Drosophila melanogaster: one gene and its partners. The protein of the gene in region 1 interacts with the protein of each later gene in a pairwise test. Each region holds a gene or a part of one and is shown in the gene's direction. Other genes may lie near its edges. The genes, in order: CG8851, Traf-like, Odj and CG3342.

Region 1 (5,161 bases):
AGTTTCGTCTGCATCTCATCCTTCTCCTTGCAAACCTGGGCCAGCTTCAGCTGCTCGTTCTCTAAGAGCTTGGGGAAGTGCAGTAACTCGTTCAGTTTCTCTTGGAACTTAGCTCGAATCTCTTTGACCTCCGTGTTGATCTGCTGTTCGATTCGTTTGTTGTTCATGTTCAGCTTCTCTAGGGAGACGCACTGTTCCTCGACCTTCTGCTGGGCCAGCAGGTACTTGTTGCGGTAGTCCTCTAACTGCTGCGACTGCTCCTTCATGATGCACTTGAACTCCAGCTGCTCCTCCTTGAGCTCGTTGACCCGCGCTCGAAGTAGATTCAGCTCGGCGGCATCGGCATCCCCGTCGCCCCCTTTCGATGGACAGGGACCACAGATACCCTTCATTCGCTTCTGCATCTCCTTCATCTGGCAGTCCTTGCGCTGAAACTCGGTTAGCAGCCTGGTGTAGTTCTCCTTCATCTTCTCGTACTTGTCGGCCTTGGTGTTCCGCTTTCCGCCGCAGATGACCAGTGGGTCTGGATCCTCGGGACACGGCGGCCTGGGAGGACACGGCCTGGAGCAGGGGTCCTCCTCTCCTTCATCGTCATCGTCGTCGACGTCACAGGGTTCGGACGCATCCCGATTGCTCACCTCCTGGAGCAACTTCTTCACCGAGGTCTGCATGCATTGGATGCGCCGCTTCAGTTTCTCCAAGGACTCGCACTTGCCCGGTGGCTGGGGCTGGGGCTGGGGGCAGGGAGCCTTCTGAGCCTTCCGTTTGGCTGGACAGGGAGGAGGACATGGGGCAATGCTGCTGCTGCTGCTCTCCGGGCAAGGACCTTGGCAAGGACCCGGACAGGGTGGTGGCGGACAGGGACCCGGAACGCATACCGGCTGCTTCTTGCAGCTCATTATAGCGCAGGCGATCTCTTCGATCATCTTCTTGTCCTCAGGACAAGCGCCCTTCATCTTCTGCATGGCCTTTTGCAGAGCGCAGATCAACTTGTCGTCCTGACCAGCCATGTCCCGTTGACCTCCACCGCCTCCGCCGCCACCACAAACACTGGCACACGAGCTAGGCTCTTCGCTACAGGGATCCGTGGCGCTGCCAGCTGGAGCACAAGGACCGATGCCACACATATACGGTGACAGGTTGTCCTCGTCGACGGTGGTGGTCATGGCCAGCTCCTTGTAGTGCCGATGGGAGCCGAAGTTTTGCAGCTGCACCGCTCTGTTCATCATGGTGTGCAGCTTAATGTTCTCCTGCTCCATGCAAATCCTCAACCGCTTGATCTCGCGCAGTTCGTTGCGGGTCTTGCAGGGCTTGGCGCACATGTCCATGATGTTGCTCTTGATGTCCTGGATGATCTTGTTCTGGCAATCGATCTCCTTGATCAGCGCCAGGTACTCCATGTACATGCGCTTCTGCTCGGGATCGTCGGAGGACTCGCCCAGCTTGGAGAAGAGGTCCTCGTCGGGCCCCTCCTCCATCATGTGCTGTTCGCCAAGGTACTGGTTCTCATCGTCCTCGTACTCGCCGCCCTCATCGGTGTACTCTGTGTTCTCTGCCATCGCGATTTAGATTCACTTATCGATGCGGCCAAAAATTGTATGGTTAAAATTTTTTTTTTTTTTTTTTTATATTTGGCTAGATTTACTAACGATTTTAAGGTACGTATATTCTGCGAAAATTTTAACACATACTCTGAAAAAATTTCGAAACAAGTTTTGGGAAGAATAAGTTGTTTTCTTCGTGATCGAATAAAATGAACTGAAAAATCCACGGACATTCGCCCTGGGCAGTTGGCAACAGATTTGGAATGGCCTGCTTCGACTTGGGAGAATCGAACGAAAGATCCCGGAGAACTGGATTGGGATCGAGGACTTGCTTTGTCGAGGTGGATTACCGGAGTCCTCCCTCCCAGGATGGTCAGGAATGTGTCCTTCGGGAGGAGTGTGTATCGAGGCATCTATTCGGCGAAACAAACAACTATATTTACTACTGCCGCTACTTGAATTGGTTCAAAATCAAAACACAGTGCGACTTGAAGGAAATGGTATATCTTAATAAATAATTTTAAATCTATTCGAAAATATGTTATGAGAATCTACCTGTATCCTTTACTAACATAAAAGTATGAAAATGTTTTACGGTGAAATGGGAAATTTAAAGGGCAATCAGTAGGAATATACATATATAAATTATCACTCTACTGGGAGATGTGGTTTATTATCTAAAACTATTATATAAACCTTAAGGATATAATCAATCCTCGAACAGCGATATTTTCCAGAAGGCAAATGCCATTCGAGTAGGCGTAACGCCCAATTTTCTATCAAATAATTTTCGTCACGTCCTACGTAAAATTAATATTTTTGGGAATTGAATGTGTCACATAAGGTTTTTAAAAAAATTCTCTGTTCGCCAAAAACAGTGCAAAAAATTACACAAGTGCAACATTAACCAAATAGGCTAAATTTTCGTAGATGTTAAAGCCATCCAGGCGACCATTAGCCAACAGACAACGATCACTTCGATTCCGTCCACAGAATCGCAAAGGAACATCATCTAGTAACACCTCAATGGGACTGGACTTCGAGCTGGATGAGAAGAACGAAGATCAGGCAGATGAAAATGAAAAGAGTAGCTATGTCAGCCTCTCCAGGCCGAGCTCCAAAGTACTAGATACGAGAAGTGCCAGTAGCTTGGACTTCGGGGACCACTGTAGTCCCAGTATAACAAAATTACCCAAGAACAGCAGGGAAGGTAAGGAGGTCAGCCTAATCATGAGTGATGAAGAGCCGGAAGATTACAGAAAGGGTTTGGGCTCGAAGAGGAGGTTGCCAGACTCGGAAGCCCTTGGCAGCAAGCTAAAGGAGGAACTCTGCAAGTACAAGCAGGAGCTCAAGGACTACAACGAAAGCACCAAGGATCTGGAGGAGAAGTACATGAAAATTAACTACGAGCTGTGCGAAATGCAGCAGAAGCACGATCAGTTCGTGTCCAGCAGGAAGCAGGCCCAGCAAATGGATCTGGGAAGTGAGCCCGATCCGGATGGATTTTATAGCTCTGCCAGCAGTGTCACCTCGCAGACGACCATCAGACGAAAGAGCCCCCAAATCCTGCGCAGCAATACCAGTTTCATGACCGTTCTATCGGGCCAGAGTTCCTGCGACGAAATCGATAGAAAGAAATACGCGTCCGAAAGGAGTACTCATCAGCAGAATCACCATCGGCACAAGGACGATCTGCCATCACAGGTGAACAGCGTTTTTGACAGCCGTATTGTGGAAACACTGGCGAACCGTCACGTGAAGCGCAGGAAGAGATCCTTGGAGCAGGACGATCGGGAAAGGGAGCCAGCATCCTTCAAGGATGTGTACAATGTGCTGAAGGATGTGATCAACACCTCACAGGTATGAATTAGCTGTTAGCTAAATGGAATATAAAAACTTAAACCTTCTTCCTTAATCAGGATCAGAAGTACAAGCATGAACGGGATCGAGGTAGGGACAGAGACAGGGACAGGGACTCTGGAGATATAAGCCAGCTCCTTACCACCATTAAGGGACTGAAGAGCGAGCAGGTCCAGTTTCGAACTCTCATTCGGCAGCAGCAGGAGAGAATATCGGACTACCACACGCGGTGTGTGAAAGCCCAGGACATCATGAGCACCCAGAAGCAGGAGATCGAGAAGCTGCACGTGAATAACAAGCAGTTGGAGTCGAGCATCTACCATGACATAGACAGTCTGCGATCCAAGATAGACAACAAACTGAAAAGTGTCTCCCATTTGCCGAAGATGATGCGAGACGAGCACTCCAAGTACGAGACGGTAATGCGGGAAAATTGTCTGCTGGCGGATAAACTTCATGCCCTCCAACAGGAAGCCATGCAGCTGAAGGTCAAAATAGATGAACTGGGCCGCCGAAAGTTGGTCACCATCAACCGGCTGAAGGCCGCCGAAAGGGATCTGAAGATCTTTAAGAACTACAACTCGGCCTTGAAGACGGAGAAGCGGAAACTGACCCAGGAGCTGTCCACCATGAAGGATCAGCTGGAGCAGCTCCAGGCGAGCAGCAAAAGGCAACTTTCCCGCCATCGCGAGCAGAGCGAAAAGCAGCGCAGGGATCTGCAGAAGAAGATCTACGACCTCGAACTGAAGCTGAGTAGGAGCCAAAACTCGACGTCCAGTTTGATCCAGGAACGGGATAGTCTGATAGCTGAGCTCCAGACGCAACTCCACACCCTGGTCCACAACTTCGAGGTCTCGCAGAAACACATAAGGGTTCTCCGGCGGCACATCTACTCCATGACGAATCAGGGTGGCACGGGCATCGTTGGCAGTGGGTCGGCTGGCATTGCCCACTTGACATCAGGTGGTTCCCATCGACCCAGTCTGATCAGGATCAATCAGCTGCCCCAGGGAACCAGCAACGGTCGATTTGCAGCCCCCCGAACTCTGAAGGCGACGATCTAAACGGGGATCTGGACTGGACTGCCTAGACCTAGGCACTAGATTGGGCTCATCAGCTGTCCAGGCAACTTGAAGGTACTGCTCCCAGCACTTGGACTATGCCATCAAGTTGCCTGGACATTATCAGCCCTTATTAAGCCACCAATTATTTCACTCTAATGATTATGTAAACTCATTTTTAAAAGTACTTTTAATGATTCGGTTAAATGTATTGGGATAGGAACTTATTTAGGTACGACAGTCACATTACTATCACCGCTCCAAAGATTCCAAAGCCTCCAGAATTTGAGTTCATTATACGGAGCTATGACCAGATCTTTATGGCACTCCTTGACATAATTTAGGCAACAATTGCCGTTCACCAGACATGATTCTTGGCATCGACACCCTTCATTGATGTACCTTCCCCGAACAAAGTCCTGACCACAACGACCAGAGCAGTCGGTCATTTGGTAGCCCAGTGAATCCGTGATATCCGATTCTTCTATTGGTTTTTTTGGTTCCTCGATGAAGGTAGACCTCCTGGCACATTCCTTAGCTGCCATCAGCTTCACGTCGTCGATGGCAATATCTCCGTATTGGGACCTCGCATCCGTGGCGGTAAAGATCACTTGGAAGTCCTCATCCATCTTATTGATATCGATCGTGTGCTCCAGCCACCTGGCACCTTGTGATCCAGTCATCACGAATTGGTCG
Region 2 (4,640 bases), on another chromosome or scaffold:
CTTCTACAAGAACATCGTCTTTATGGGCATCATGTTCCTGTTCCAGTTTCACACGCTGTTCTCCTCATCCTCCGTCTACGATTCGCTATTCCTTACCTTGTACAATGTGATATACACCTCGCTGCCCATTTTGTTCATAGCTATCTCCGAGAAGCCATACACCGAGGAGAAGTTGATGAGGTAACAGTGGGTTCAATCGTTTATATGTATAATGTTGATGTTACTAAAAATGCAACTTGAACAGAACGCCACAGCTTTACAAGAAGAACACGGACAACAAGCAGCTCCACTGGCCGTACTTCCTGATGTGGGTCCTATTTGCGATCTACCACAGTGTCATCATATTCTACTTCGCCTTCTGCTTCTTCTACTACAACAACGTTCTCCTGAACTACGGACAGACGGTGGCCTTCTCCTGCTTCGGCACCCTCCTCATGTGGACGGTGGTGGTGGTCGTGAACCTTAAGCTCTGGCTCGAGTCAATGTATCTGTCCTTTTGGTATATATTCACCATTATCATTTCCATTTTGGGCTTTGTAGTCACAACGGTTATCTACAACGTTATCAATCTGTGAGTTCATGGCTACGAATGTATCCATTTAAGGTTTAAACTAATATGTATATGTATTATTTGCAGGGACTACGACACCGACATCTACTGGGCCTACAACAATCTGTTGGCCTCACTGCCAGTCTGGCTGTGGATCATAGTGACCTGTGTGGCCTGCCTGGTACCCGACTATACCATCCGAATGCTCCAGAGGGCGCTCAACATAAAGAGTTTCAGCATTTTTCCCGGAAAACAACGGAAACTTAAGATGCGCGAGAAGTTTGAGTCCACATACTTGTAATCGTCGATTAGGCTATAGTTTTTATACCCCTAATTTATTTATTTCCTCATGTATACAATTTTTTTTTTTTTTGTTAGATAAACAAATTTTTGTTAAACGTTTGAACAATAGATTTGATTTCTGACCACCACCTTAGAGGTAGGAAAGTATCTCAACTTCCCAAATGGAGAACCTTGAAATCGTATGCTAACACTCGCAATCAACTGGGAAGTACGACATTTTAGGCTGATAACATTTTTATCATAATCTCGGCGACTTATTGAGAGCAAGTGCAACTACACTTGGAAAAATGGTTCGTTTACGAAAATGCTGGGTTTCAATACAGCTACACGATACAAACATCTAATTAATAAAGGATTTATTTAATATTTTTCCTACATCGGATATTGTTTAAAAATATATACGAAAGTATATAGCCCGTTTTTATCACAGTTTAGCCGTTGCCCCACTTTTGATACCATAAAGTAGGGCGGCGAGTCAGTAAATGTACTTCAATCCCGATCCACATATGTGTACGTAGGGCACCTGTTGGTTCGGCCATACCCACTGCCACGCCCACGATCACTGCCGCCCACCACATTGTTATCTAGTTGATGGCGTCGTTACCATTTGCATTGCCGAGGCAATGGACAAAGTTTTGATTGTGAAGCCCGTTTTTCATTGATAATGTTATCTCCACTCGCATTCCGAATATGTTTGTACAAGGGGAGCTAGAGATATGAACATTTTGCAGGTACATATGTGGCCATATAGTCGCTGGAAGATCTGGTGACGGTTACGATTTTAGTGGATTCTCGGTGGCTGTGTTTTCCTGGTCGTAGTTCGCCAAGTTAGTGGTCAATACGATTCGTTGGTTGCTCTCGCATTTCGAAATAGTGGTAATCGCACCAAATGGCAGTGCTATCAGTTCGAGGTTGTCGTATAGATTCCCATGGACGCCCTAATGCTAACACATGTGCAAAGCTATATCTAAACCATGTCTGTGTGCGCCGCGTATGACTATGCCCAAGGAAATTCTTAATCATTTTTGGCTGAGTTTAGTGTGCATAGGGCGGTGCTCGCAGCGCCAGAGAATTTGCTGATCCAAAGTTTCAATCGAATTTGCTTTCCTTTAATCAATATAATGTCACTGACCAAGTCGTCGTCGAGAAAGGATCTAACCGAGCAGAATCAGTATCAGAATCAGAATGAGAATCAGAATCAGCCCAAATCGACGACCATAGTCAAGTATGAGAAGTCGTCGTGCCTCTTCTGCAACGAATGGTTCGATGCCCAGACATTCACGGTTATAATCGTCCAACTTTTCAGTTCACCTTTGATTACTATTACATTACTCCTCTTTGGATGCGACTGCAGGAACACCTGATCCACTGCGGCCAGGTGCTGGAGGAGTGTCCCAACGGCTGTCAGGCCTTCATTCCACGCATCCGTATGCGATCCCATCTGAAGGAGTGTCCACGCAACCAGCACAATCTGAGCAATCAGCAACGCATGAGTGTCAGCATGGATCGCCTGGATAGGCAGTCGGATCAGCGTCTCCTGGTCATTGAACAGGACGTGGGCACCATTCGGTCCGTTCTCAACGAGGAGATACGACAGCGTTTGCATCTCATTACCGATGTGGGCAACATACGGAAGCAGAACCAGGTCGTCGAGGACTGGACCCGCGAAACCGAGAAGGCAATGGACGATCTGCGTCGCCAGATGGAGGAGGAAACCAATCGGAAGGCATTCGCCATCGAACAGAACCAGCTGGATGTCCAGTACTGCTGTGATATCACACAGGTTAGTTAATGCTACTTTATTTAAATATATATATACTATCTATCTTTAATGTGCATATCTCCGTCGAAGTCCTTGAAAGAGCAAGTGGAGTCCAGGCTGGATGAGGCCCAAAAGCTGGTCAATCAGCTCTCGGCGGACGTGACCTATCACCAGAATCAGCTAAACGACAATATCCTAAAGCTGGAGGAGCTGATCTTTGAGAACGAGCGGCTCAACAGGGAGAAGTTCTTTCAGATCGAGGAGTTTCTGCAGCAGATCAATGAGGACATCAAAACAAAGCTGGGCAACAGTGACTATGTGACGTCAAAGCAGGCCACATTGGACTATGAGGTGAAGAATGTGAAGAACATTGTGTGCGAAACGGAGGAACGTTGCGATAAATTGGATCGAGCACTTCACCAGACCATGCAGAATATATCGGATTTGGAGACCCAAATGGCCATGCAGCAGCGGATTGCCAGTGTCCAGAATATAAGGGGTACATATTGTTGGTTCAATATAGTAATTTAAATATATAATATCTGGTCGTACAGGACACTTGATTTGGCGCATCAAGGATTACTCGAAAAAACTGGAAGAGTCCAAGCAGTACGACACCATCCTCCATAGCGCCATGTTCTCCAATAAAGCCTTTGGCTATGCTCTACGGGTGAGTTGAGGTTGGATCTTGGTTGGATATGCCATTTATATATGTATACCCCATTACTAGCTGGATATATACTTGAATGGCAAGGGCACCTGGAAGGGCAGGAACATGATCGCCTGCTTGAACGTTCTATCCGGAGAGTACGATCCCCTTCTGGCCTGGCCATGCCGCCTTCAGGCCGAGATCATCATCCGGGATCAGTGCACGAATGTGGCAGATGCCGAGGATTATGTGAAGACCATCTTTGTGCGCAAGAAGAGCGATGATTTTATCCAAAGCAACCAGTACTTCCATATACCACACAAGGTAATCACCAGTCGCAACTATCTTCGCAACGATTCCATGTTCATCGAGGTTCGAGTTCTAAAATAAAACCCATGCAGCATCGCTATCCCACCCACCAGGAGCGATAAGAAAAAAAAAATCCAATTGCGGATTGTCACATACATAAAACATAATTTATTCCATTGAGAGCGAACTGGAAGTTAAAAACCCGCTTACAAACACGAGTATGTGTACATATATAGTGTATAAGTGCATACGAATCGATTCATCGTTTCAATATGCGTATATTGTAGTTTTAAATGTCATTGCAGTTTTAAATGCTTTTTTTCAAATTAGGCAATAGTCACATTGAGGCACTGTCGAGACGAAGTCGGTAGTTAGAAAGCATAGCTTTTATTGCAACATTTCCCTGGTCACTTTGTCAAGATATAAGCAACTCTTTCATTTTTTGGTTTTTCATTTCGAGCAAATTAACAAGCGATTTTTGAGAGGAACTTCCATATTATTTGTCTTTACGAACGCATTTAAATACAAAGGTCTTTTAATAAAATACAACTTCAACACTTGTCAACTGTCGGTTCCCATGTTCATTTCTTTGAAAGAGGTATCAAATGTCTGATCCCGTTCAGGTATTATTTGTGTGCACTTATAGTCTACGTTGTGGATCATAATTGTCTGGCTTCGTTGGCGTGTTCTTGTATGTTGTATGCATTTAAATGAACGAATACATAGAAGAGATAATACATATTCGAATAATTGATTTCACGTCGGATTTGGTTTGAATAATACATATATATGTATATGCGGAGATTCTTAAGAGGAGCGCTGTTCACCCACCAGGGCATAAAGGGCGTGCTTGTAGTGGCCCGAAGTATCGCCCTGCAAGTAGGATTTTATATGATTATAGAATATAGATATAGATAGATATATATATCTTACCTTGATCCAGCTCTTGAGGGACTTGCCGTACAGACGTTCGAACGCTACCTTAATGTCCGTCATATCAATCTGAAAAACGTTGCAACATTTTAGGGTTGAATGATATTATATATAGATGTACTTACCTCGCTGCG
Region 3 (4,000 bases), on another chromosome or scaffold:
CGAATCCACGAGCTAACTGCCGTCCCAGTGACGAACCTAACACCCAAACTGCGCCTGCTCTTCAAGGCCTTTTGGCAGACGCTCAGTCTGCTGATGGCTCTCATCTCCATTGGCCGTCCCAGCTTCCTACTCGTCCAGAATCCGCCCGGCATTCCCACGCTGATTGTGTGCTATCTGTACTGTGCGGTCACACGAACCAAGCTGGCCATCGATTGGCACAACTACACGTACACAGTGCTGGCATTGGGAATGTCGAAGGGAGAGCAGAGTCCTCTAATACGATTGGTTAGGCGACTGGAGCGATACTTCGGCTCCAAGGCACACACACACTTCTGTGTGACGCGGGCCATGCAAGAGGATCTGCAGCAAAACTGGGGCATTGGGTAAGTCCTCATCACATCCATCTAAACGAAGTAAATAACTCAGCCGCGACTCATCTTTCAGGCCTGTCAAAGTTCTGTATGATCGTGCGCCCGCGCAATTCCATCCCATCGACTTGACTCACAAGCACGAGCTGTACCTGAAGCTGGCCAAAGACTACCCACAGTTCCAGGCCAAGGACGCCGAACAATCCGATGTTCTGGAGGCCACCGCTCTTACCCAAAAGCTGGCCAGCGGTGTTGTGCAGTACAGACCACAGCGACAAGCCGTGCTGGTTTCCAGCACCAGTTGGACGCCGGACGAGGACTTCGGTATACTGCTTAAGGCTTTGCAAGCTTACGAGGAGACTGCGCAAGCAGAGCCGTTGGTTTATCCTTCCCTGCTGTGTATCATCACCGGAAAGGGGCCACAAAAGGAGCACTATGTGGCGGAGATCGAGAAGCTGCAATGGCAGAAGGTGTCGGTGATCACGCCCTGGCTAGAGATCGAGGACTACCCCACTGTTCTGGCCAGCGCCGACCTGGGCGTGTGTCTGCACTGGAGCACCAGTGGGCTCGACCTGCCCATGAAGGTGGTCGACATGTTCGGCAGCGGGCTGCCTGTCTGCGCCTACGATTTCAAGTGGTAACTAATCCTGCCATTTACTATTATTACTTACTAACTTCTACAAATGGCTCTTTAGCCTGGATGAGCTGGTGAAGCACGGCGAGAATGGCTTCGTGTTTGGCGACCATGTTCAGCTGGCCGAGCAGCTGAGGATTTGGTTCGAAAATTTTCCAAAGAATCCCAGCATCCTGGAGACAAGAGCTGGTTTTCAGCGCAAAATCCAGGAGTTCCAGGAGCTGCGATGGCGGGAGAGTTGGCGCCTGATCGCGGCCCCCGTACTGGAGGCATTTCTATAGAGCATTTTGACAAAGATTTGACAATTACACGTTATGAGAGACTTCCTTTGATTGCTAATCGCTTTTTCTAGGCTAGTTACTACAAATTCTGTACACAAAAGAGCTTCAAACTTGCTTATGATGCTTATTTTATTTTTATAATCGTAGCCTAAAGATAAAAATAAATTGCTAAAAAAAGGAGATATATACAACTATTTATTCGCTTGTAAAGCGTGTTTTCTTAGGAGTATTATGTATTTCAATTAAAAAAGAAAATTCACGGGATGCAGTGCCGATTTTTTTTTATTTGAACACCAATATCGATAGTCTGAAATAAACATCGATATATCGGAAAATTTTAAAAACATCAATGTTTGACACCTCTAGTTGCGGACAACGGTCACACTTCAAAACCAAACCGGCTGCGCAAAAATTACTATAATTTGTAATTAAAATTAATCAATTTTATTTAGTTTCGAAAGAATGAGCACCGAGTGTCGGATCTGCGGCGAGCGCATCTTCACGCCGCACCCAAAGAACATCTTCGAGAAGCGCAATCATCGCATTCGGATGGCCATCGAGCAAATCACGGGCTTAGAGGTGGCGTCCCTTTTATTTGTTGTCCGGAATTATTCATAATCTATGCATTTCCAGATCGTTTTAGAGAATATGCTGCCCCAGCACATATGCGCTTGTTGTCTCCTGGACCTGACCCAAGCCGTAGCCTTCAGGCAGCGATGCCTGGAGACGCACGCAAATCTCCACCAGAGGATCTCCTCGAAGGCGGGTGTCGCCTCAAAAGGCTCCCCGGAGGTTTCGCCAGTGCTTAGTGATCCGCTGCTGAAACGGGAGGTGCTGGATGATACAGTAGACACCGAGGACGATAAGGAGCTACTGGACGATGATAAGGATTTAATGGATGATGATAAGGATTTCTTGGAGGACGAAAAGCCGATTTTAAGATATCCTCCGGCCAAAAAAATCCGGATCGAGGACCAAAATTTCCCGAACAGACAGTCCCCACGAGTCAGGGTCAAGCGGCTTCGTGTGCCTGTGGTCGAGAAGGCAGATAGTCCACCGCCACCTCCGCGGGAGCACGTCCGAAAGCCCAGAAAGCGGCGACCAAAACCCAAGGTCGATCGCTCGATAAAGCGATACGTGTGCGACCAGTGCGGTTGGTCGTTCAACGATCACAGCAACATGAAGGATCACAAGCTGCGGCACTTCGAGGAGAAGTTTTCATGCGACGAGTGCGGTCGCAAGTTCTACACCATGCCACTGCTCCGATTGCACATTCGAGTCCATCACAAGGGCGAGAAACCGTACGTCTGCAAGTTCTGCGGTATGGGATTCGCCAATAGTCCCAGCCGCTGTCGTCATGAACGGTGAGTGCTGGCCTAATCATCACAAGTCCTTATCTATATAAACCATAAAAACCTTGACAGTCAAATGCATGCCAACGAGCTGGTGCACCCGTGCAAAATATGCGGCAAACGATTCAACAGCGAGAAGGGACGGCTGAAGCACGAGGAGGGGCACAAGAGTGACCAACCGGATGTCCATATGTAAGAATCATTGAAATATACGTAGCCATAGATGTACAAACTCATATTCTTTCACAGCTGCCTCACATGCAACAAGGAGTTCAAGGAGGCGCAGTTTTTGCATCGGCACTACTCCACAAAGTATCACCGCAAGCGGGTCAACTTGCTGGTTAATGGTCCAAAAGAGGAATTCCAGTCTGAAGTCGATCCGGCGGAGTTTCCGGGATATATGGAAGAGGGGCAGGCAGAAATGGAGGACAACCAGGCTGAACTGGACGTAATGTTAGATAACATTGACGAGGAACAATATGAGGACCACGAGGTACTTCAGGATGAGGACGCAAATTTTGAGGACTTCGAGTACGAGGAAGCCATTCCCGATGGAGAGGAGCTGTACACCTAACTTTAAGCACACAAAAAAAATCGACTGTTGGCGCCACACACTCCACACTCCACACGCCACAATGCCAGGGATGCAAACTATCTGACTTTTTCGGTGGTTCAGAGAAATCCTTTGAATCACCAGCCAGCCGTACGATTAGCACCAGTGTGGAAGGAATTCAACGTCGGTCTTAGATTACAATTTGTTATAAAATATATTTTATTCTAATTGCACAGCGCGCTTATTTTAATAAAAATTATATGGAACCAATTTCAAAAACGTCAGGAATTAGCCGAACGTGTGTTTTAGCTTGAACCTCTCTTTTTGGGAAAATTTAACCTCCCGTTTATAATATATAAATTTTAAATTATAAAAACTAGCTCGATGTTCCCTGGTTTCTAGGAAATAAGAACAGTTAGTTTTTCCACACCTATCTGGTAACGCCATGAAACAGGTAATTCATACAAATTTTGCTGCTTAGAGAGAGTAAACAGAAATTCTCGGATTGCGTACGCTCTTTTACCGTTTTTATTCCATAATTGACAACATAAAATCAATTAAACTACAGCTGATTGTTTTGGGAATTCAGCGGGATAAATGATCATATGTTTGAAATGAAAAAGCCTTCGCAATGCCATTTGTGCGCCTCGTGTTTCTGTCACCTGAATCCCACGATAATTTTTTGCCTGGAAGTTCTGGCCAAGATCAAGGATCTCACTGGAATATGGGTATGTTGATGGTTTCTTGTGTGCGTGAATGGCATAACCCATTTACTCCATTTACAGTTAGAACAGAATGAACGCCAGCCGCGT
Region 4 (4,237 bases), on another chromosome or scaffold:
GAAGGCGAATGTGATCTCTTCGTGCGACAGTGCCCGGCCGAAACTCGCCTCCACGTAGTGAACTTCGGCACCATAGCGACGGGCCATATCCCCGGCCCGATGACCCCAGACGCCCGTGATGCCCATGAGCACCACATCGCCATCCTCGATCAGATTGCACAGAGCGGCCTCCATGCCCGAGTGGCCGGCGCCGCTGATGCACATGGTGGCATCGTTGAGTGTCTGAAAGATGTACTTAATGCCCTCCTTCACCTCGTCCATGATCTGCAGATATACAGAGATTAATATACAAACACCTGGCCATGCTCAGTGGGAATAGCTCAATTCATGGGGGGATCACTAATATTAGATTGCTATAAAGTATAAGAGATGTGCTGGTTTCACTCGACTGGCTAGCCCACAGATCTCTGACCCAGCTCAGCAAATGTATCTCAATGTTTCACTTCGTTCAGATAAGGTACAGTGCGGCCCATGAGTATATGGACTTGGGCTTAACTTTTCGATATAATTCGAGTATTAAGCTCAATCTTGCTAGCACTTTTGTGGTTTTAAGAAGATATTGTACCTGCAGGCATTCGGGATGCATGTGACCCAACACCGGATTGCTCATGGCCTCCAGGACGCGATGGGAACAGTTGGAGGGTCCGGGCCCCATCAACGTCTTGCTGGGCACATAGAGCGGTCGCTTGAGTACAAGTGGCGGTGGTACCTCCATGGTCTTTGTTCCCTATTTACGTAATCAGATCTCTGTGTTTACGACTGCCTTATCGCCTTCTGCTCTCTAATCCGCTGTGCCAGGTAGAATGGGTGTTACTACTGTTTGGTGATGGGAGTTGGTTTTTATGGGCTGTCTCTCTCGGTGGCTGGCCAAGATCGGACTGAAACGCTTGCCGGGCTGCTGGCCACTTTATAGCGCACCGGATCGCAGCTTATCGCCGCAATTTTCGCCGATGAACGCACTTGAACAAGTGGTAAATGATGCGCTCTCCCGCTTATCAAGGCATCAAGATCGAGAGCAACTGCGTCGTTGGCGGCACAGAACGAAATTTGGAATAAGAATAATAAGTTAAGACTGCCATTTGATGGGTCAAAAAATCATACACAGTTTTAAGACAAGATCTTTACGAAATAATATGACTTACTACTCAATTAATTTCATTGTTAATCTGAAAGAAGTACCATTTTTTGTTTGCAGTGTGCTGCTGCTGATTCTTTGAATGGCCTTGGGAAGGTTGGCGGACCAATGTCTATTGTGAAATAAGAAATCCAGCGAATTCAGCAAGACGAACCTTGACTGTGGGTACGTATACGTAATGTAGCAACTTCTTTTTCGAAGCTGGAAGCATCTGCAGAGTGCAGAGATCAAGATCTAGCATCTAGATCTTAATTCTCTCGAAATCTCAGCCCACTGACAACTAACATTTGGGTTGATAGCAGTGCCCGTATCGTCAGTTTTTCCATTAGCGATTTGGAGTGGAAAACACATCGTGACCAGGAGGTCAACCGCCAATAATACAAATGTCGTATTGAGTGGCCGAAAATATTTATTACCATTTCGCTGGTGGTGAAATTAGAATCAAAATAAAAACAAAAACATAGATTTAGGAAAGTGATAAGCAGTCAAATTAGCAGGTCGTGACTATAAAATTTAAATGTTCGTTTAAATATTGATTGATTTTTCCATATTTAAGGCACAAGCATCTTTTTAAAAACATTGTTTCGAATGTAGAAGTAAGTTCAGTTTGGTTTTAATATATTGAATTAATTATATTGAAACGAATTGAATATAGAATATATATTCTATTACAGTTGACTATATTAAACATATATATGTATAAATATGTTTATTTTATGGCCTTTTTGCTTAATATTTAGTTATAATATTTTATAATTTTCCTGAAAGCAATTCACCGGTGGAAACAAGTTTTCTTCGTTTTGGCGCTTGGTCACACTTTCTGTTTCGGTCAAAACAAACTGAACAATAGTTAATGTTTTTAAACATTTTCGATGCGACTGCATAATTAGGCATGGAAATCGGCAACGATCAGTCCTATCAGGACTTCTTCGACAAGTTGCGAAGGTGAGTCTGTTTCTGGACGGGATTGGGACACTTGGCACAGTGGTATATACATATTAAATATATATGAACTCCAGTGAATCGGGTCCTCGCAACTTGCGCCAGATCTTTGAGGACGACGATCGTCCGCTGGCGAACGAATCATCCAGCTTGCGCTATCAGCCAGGCAGCTCCAAAAAATTGCAGGCTGGCAAAAGACCGGCCATGACCAGGAGTAGCACCCAGGAGACGGGTGATTCACCGCCTGCCGCCTGGAACACGGCCATTGCCAAGGTGGTGCATGCCTATCGGAGCAGCGAGAACGTTGGACGCGTCGGCCTGGCCCTCTCGATTCTGGGCGAGATGGAGGCCAGCAAGCTGATTGTCTACCGCAGCAAGAGTCAGGTGCTGACCACGCTGCAGTTGACACCGCGTGGCGGCAAGGTGATACTGCGCGAATCCTATCTGCAGTTCTACGATGACGAGCAGCGCTTCTGGAGCCTGCGATTCGACAAGGAACCGGATGAGAAGGAATTCATAACGTTTATGGTCAAAAACAAACTGCCAGTGGAGCACTATCTCAGCGAGATCTCATCCTCCAGCTCGGCATCGCCTTCGCGTGAGGATTTATCTAAGATCCGAACTAAAGCAACGGTCACAAAGACGACGCCTAATCCGCCACAGCCGCAACCACGTTCCCGCGTAACGCTGCCAACGCTGGAGAAGGCGGACGATGAGGAACGCGAACGGGAAACAGAGACACCTTCCAATGAGGATGTGATAGTAACGCCAGTGCCGCGACCCATAGGTTCGTCAAATGCTCACAGGAAACTCAGTGCCAGTTCCCTGGCGGTGGCCAACGCTTCAACGAGCAGCGATACTCCGTTGGCTGTGACGACACTGGACAAATATCTAGACGAACAGCGTGCCTCGGGTGCGTTAATGGAGCACAAGATGGACGCCATTCTGCAGGCCATGAATCGCATGGGCGGCCAGTCGAGTGTTGCGCCCAAGAAGCCCAGTGATCCGCTGCTGGAACGCGACAGCGAGGACGAGATGCTGGAGCTGGAGCAGAAGCTGCTCAACTTGAAGCGGGAGAATCGAGCGCTAATGCGCAACCTCAAGGCACGCGAACAGGCGCTGGAGGATCTACGCTGCTCGGCGTGCGCCCTTTGCGAGGAGCTACTAGTCCAGAATGGCGAGCTCAAGTCGCAGAATGCCCAGCTGTTGTTAGCCAGCCAGCATATTTCCGATTCAAGCACAGCTGCTTCGCCTGCCCATTGCCGCAATTGCGAGTCGTCTTCCCGGCAAATAGCCAAAATGCAGCTACACATTTCCGCACTGCAGGAAGCGCTGCGAATCTTTCAGAAATCAGGCGACTCCAGCTCCAGTTCGGGTCGGTTATAGCACCTAACGTAGGCGTATTATATATGTTCGGTATTACTATCGAAAAGTGTATTAAATCATTTGTTAGGTCGCGTAACATATCCACAAATACAAGCCAGACACTATTAGCTATCTTTAAGTCATTAGATTGCCATGTTATTGGGCTCATTTACAAAGCGATTTTCTAATCTATTACAACTATTATTACTAAATGTGAGATATAAAATATGTTGCGGAAGATTATAATTAATAGCAACCCATGCTTTGCTCTCTCTCAATTATGAAAAACTCCGACTTCCTCTTGTACAAACTAATTTGTTGTATTTGCAGCACACATCGGGCTGAAATTTAAGGTATAGGGACAAGTCTACGGTTTGCGCGTCTCATAATCCGTGGGAAGAGTTCATGGAGAAGTTGTTTTGGGGCCTGGAACTGGAAGTGGAACTGGCAGTCTCTCTGTGGAAGTGAGGAGCGGAAAGGATGGGCTGGCGGTCCTGCTCCTTTACGTTTTTACGGCTAAAATGGAAAGCGAGCTAGTTTGCGGAGCGAGTGCTTTGGGAGGCAGCTGTCTATCCATCCTGATGCTGATCCAGATCCAGATACAGATCCACATCTAGATTCTCTTGCTGATCCAGTTAATCCTTGTTTGTTTCTTTTCTTTCTCAGTAGGTGCTGCTGTCGCTGAGGCTGCTCAGGTAGCTGCTGCCGGCGGTCGGAGCACCGGATCCGCCGGCACGATGTCGCTTCCGCTTCGCCTTGGTCTTCTTGCGTCGCAGCATGGCCGTGTCCGTGGAC

Evidence for each region.
Region 2: the proteins of CG8851 (region 1) and Traf-like interact in a two-hybrid assay, tested with the Drosophila melanogaster proteins (2 studies listed by BioGRID).
Region 3: the proteins of CG8851 (region 1) and Odj interact in a two-hybrid assay, tested with the Drosophila melanogaster proteins (2 studies listed by BioGRID).
Region 4: the proteins of CG8851 (region 1) and CG3342 interact in a two-hybrid assay, tested with the Drosophila melanogaster proteins (2 studies listed by BioGRID).

What each region holds. Positions count from the first base shown.
Region 1 is NT_033779.5:3,517,905-3,523,065, forward strand, and holds CG8851 (uncharacterized protein), read left to right. Parts: upstream 1-1,772; 5' UTR 1,773-1,807; coding exon 1,808-2,044; intron 2,045-2,317; exon of another isoform or gene 2,318-2,474; coding exon 2,475-3,404; intron 3,405-3,463; coding exon 3,464-4,468; 3' UTR 4,469-4,651; downstream 4,652-5,161. Other genes in the region: CG3213 (uncharacterized protein), read right to left, coding at 1-1,559; Sr-CIV (scavenger receptor class C, type IV), read right to left, coding at 4,690-5,161.
Region 2 is NC_004354.4:16,413,450-16,418,089, forward strand, and holds Traf-like (TNF-receptor-associated factor-like), read left to right. Parts: upstream 1-1,596; 5' UTR 1,597-1,974; coding exon 1,975-2,136; coding exon of another isoform or gene 2,137-2,207; coding exon 2,208-2,636; intron 2,637-2,705; coding exon 2,706-3,114; intron 3,115-3,169; coding exon 3,170-3,285; intron 3,286-3,345; coding exon 3,346-3,654; 3' UTR 3,655-4,136; downstream 4,137-4,640. Other genes in the region: CG4301 (uncharacterized protein), read left to right, coding at 1-180, 245-571, 638-851; AnxB11 (annexin B11), read right to left, coding at 4,381-4,446, 4,507-4,575, 4,632-4,640.
Region 3 is NT_033777.3:17,806,863-17,810,862, reverse strand, and holds Odj (oddjob), read left to right. Parts: upstream 1-1,640; 5' UTR 1,641-1,745; coding exon 1,746-1,862; intron 1,863-1,916; coding exon 1,917-2,647; intron 2,648-2,707; coding exon 2,708-2,827; intron 2,828-2,884; coding exon 2,885-3,209; 3' UTR 3,210-3,456; downstream 3,457-4,000. Other genes in the region: Alg1 (ALG1, chitobiosyldiphosphodolichol beta-mannosyltransferase), read left to right, coding at 1-383, 445-1,005, 1,064-1,283; CG17801 (uncharacterized protein), read left to right, coding at 3,794-3,916, 3,974-4,000.
Region 4 is NC_004354.4:6,525,594-6,529,830, reverse strand, and holds CG3342 (uncharacterized protein), read left to right. Parts: upstream 1-1,942; 5' UTR 1,943-2,027; coding exon 2,028-2,080; intron 2,081-2,154; coding exon 2,155-3,463; 3' UTR 3,464-3,725; downstream 3,726-4,237. Other genes in the region: Agxt (Alanine-glyoxylate aminotransferase), read right to left, coding at 1-264, 566-715; CG3918 (uncharacterized protein), read right to left, coding at 4,105-4,237.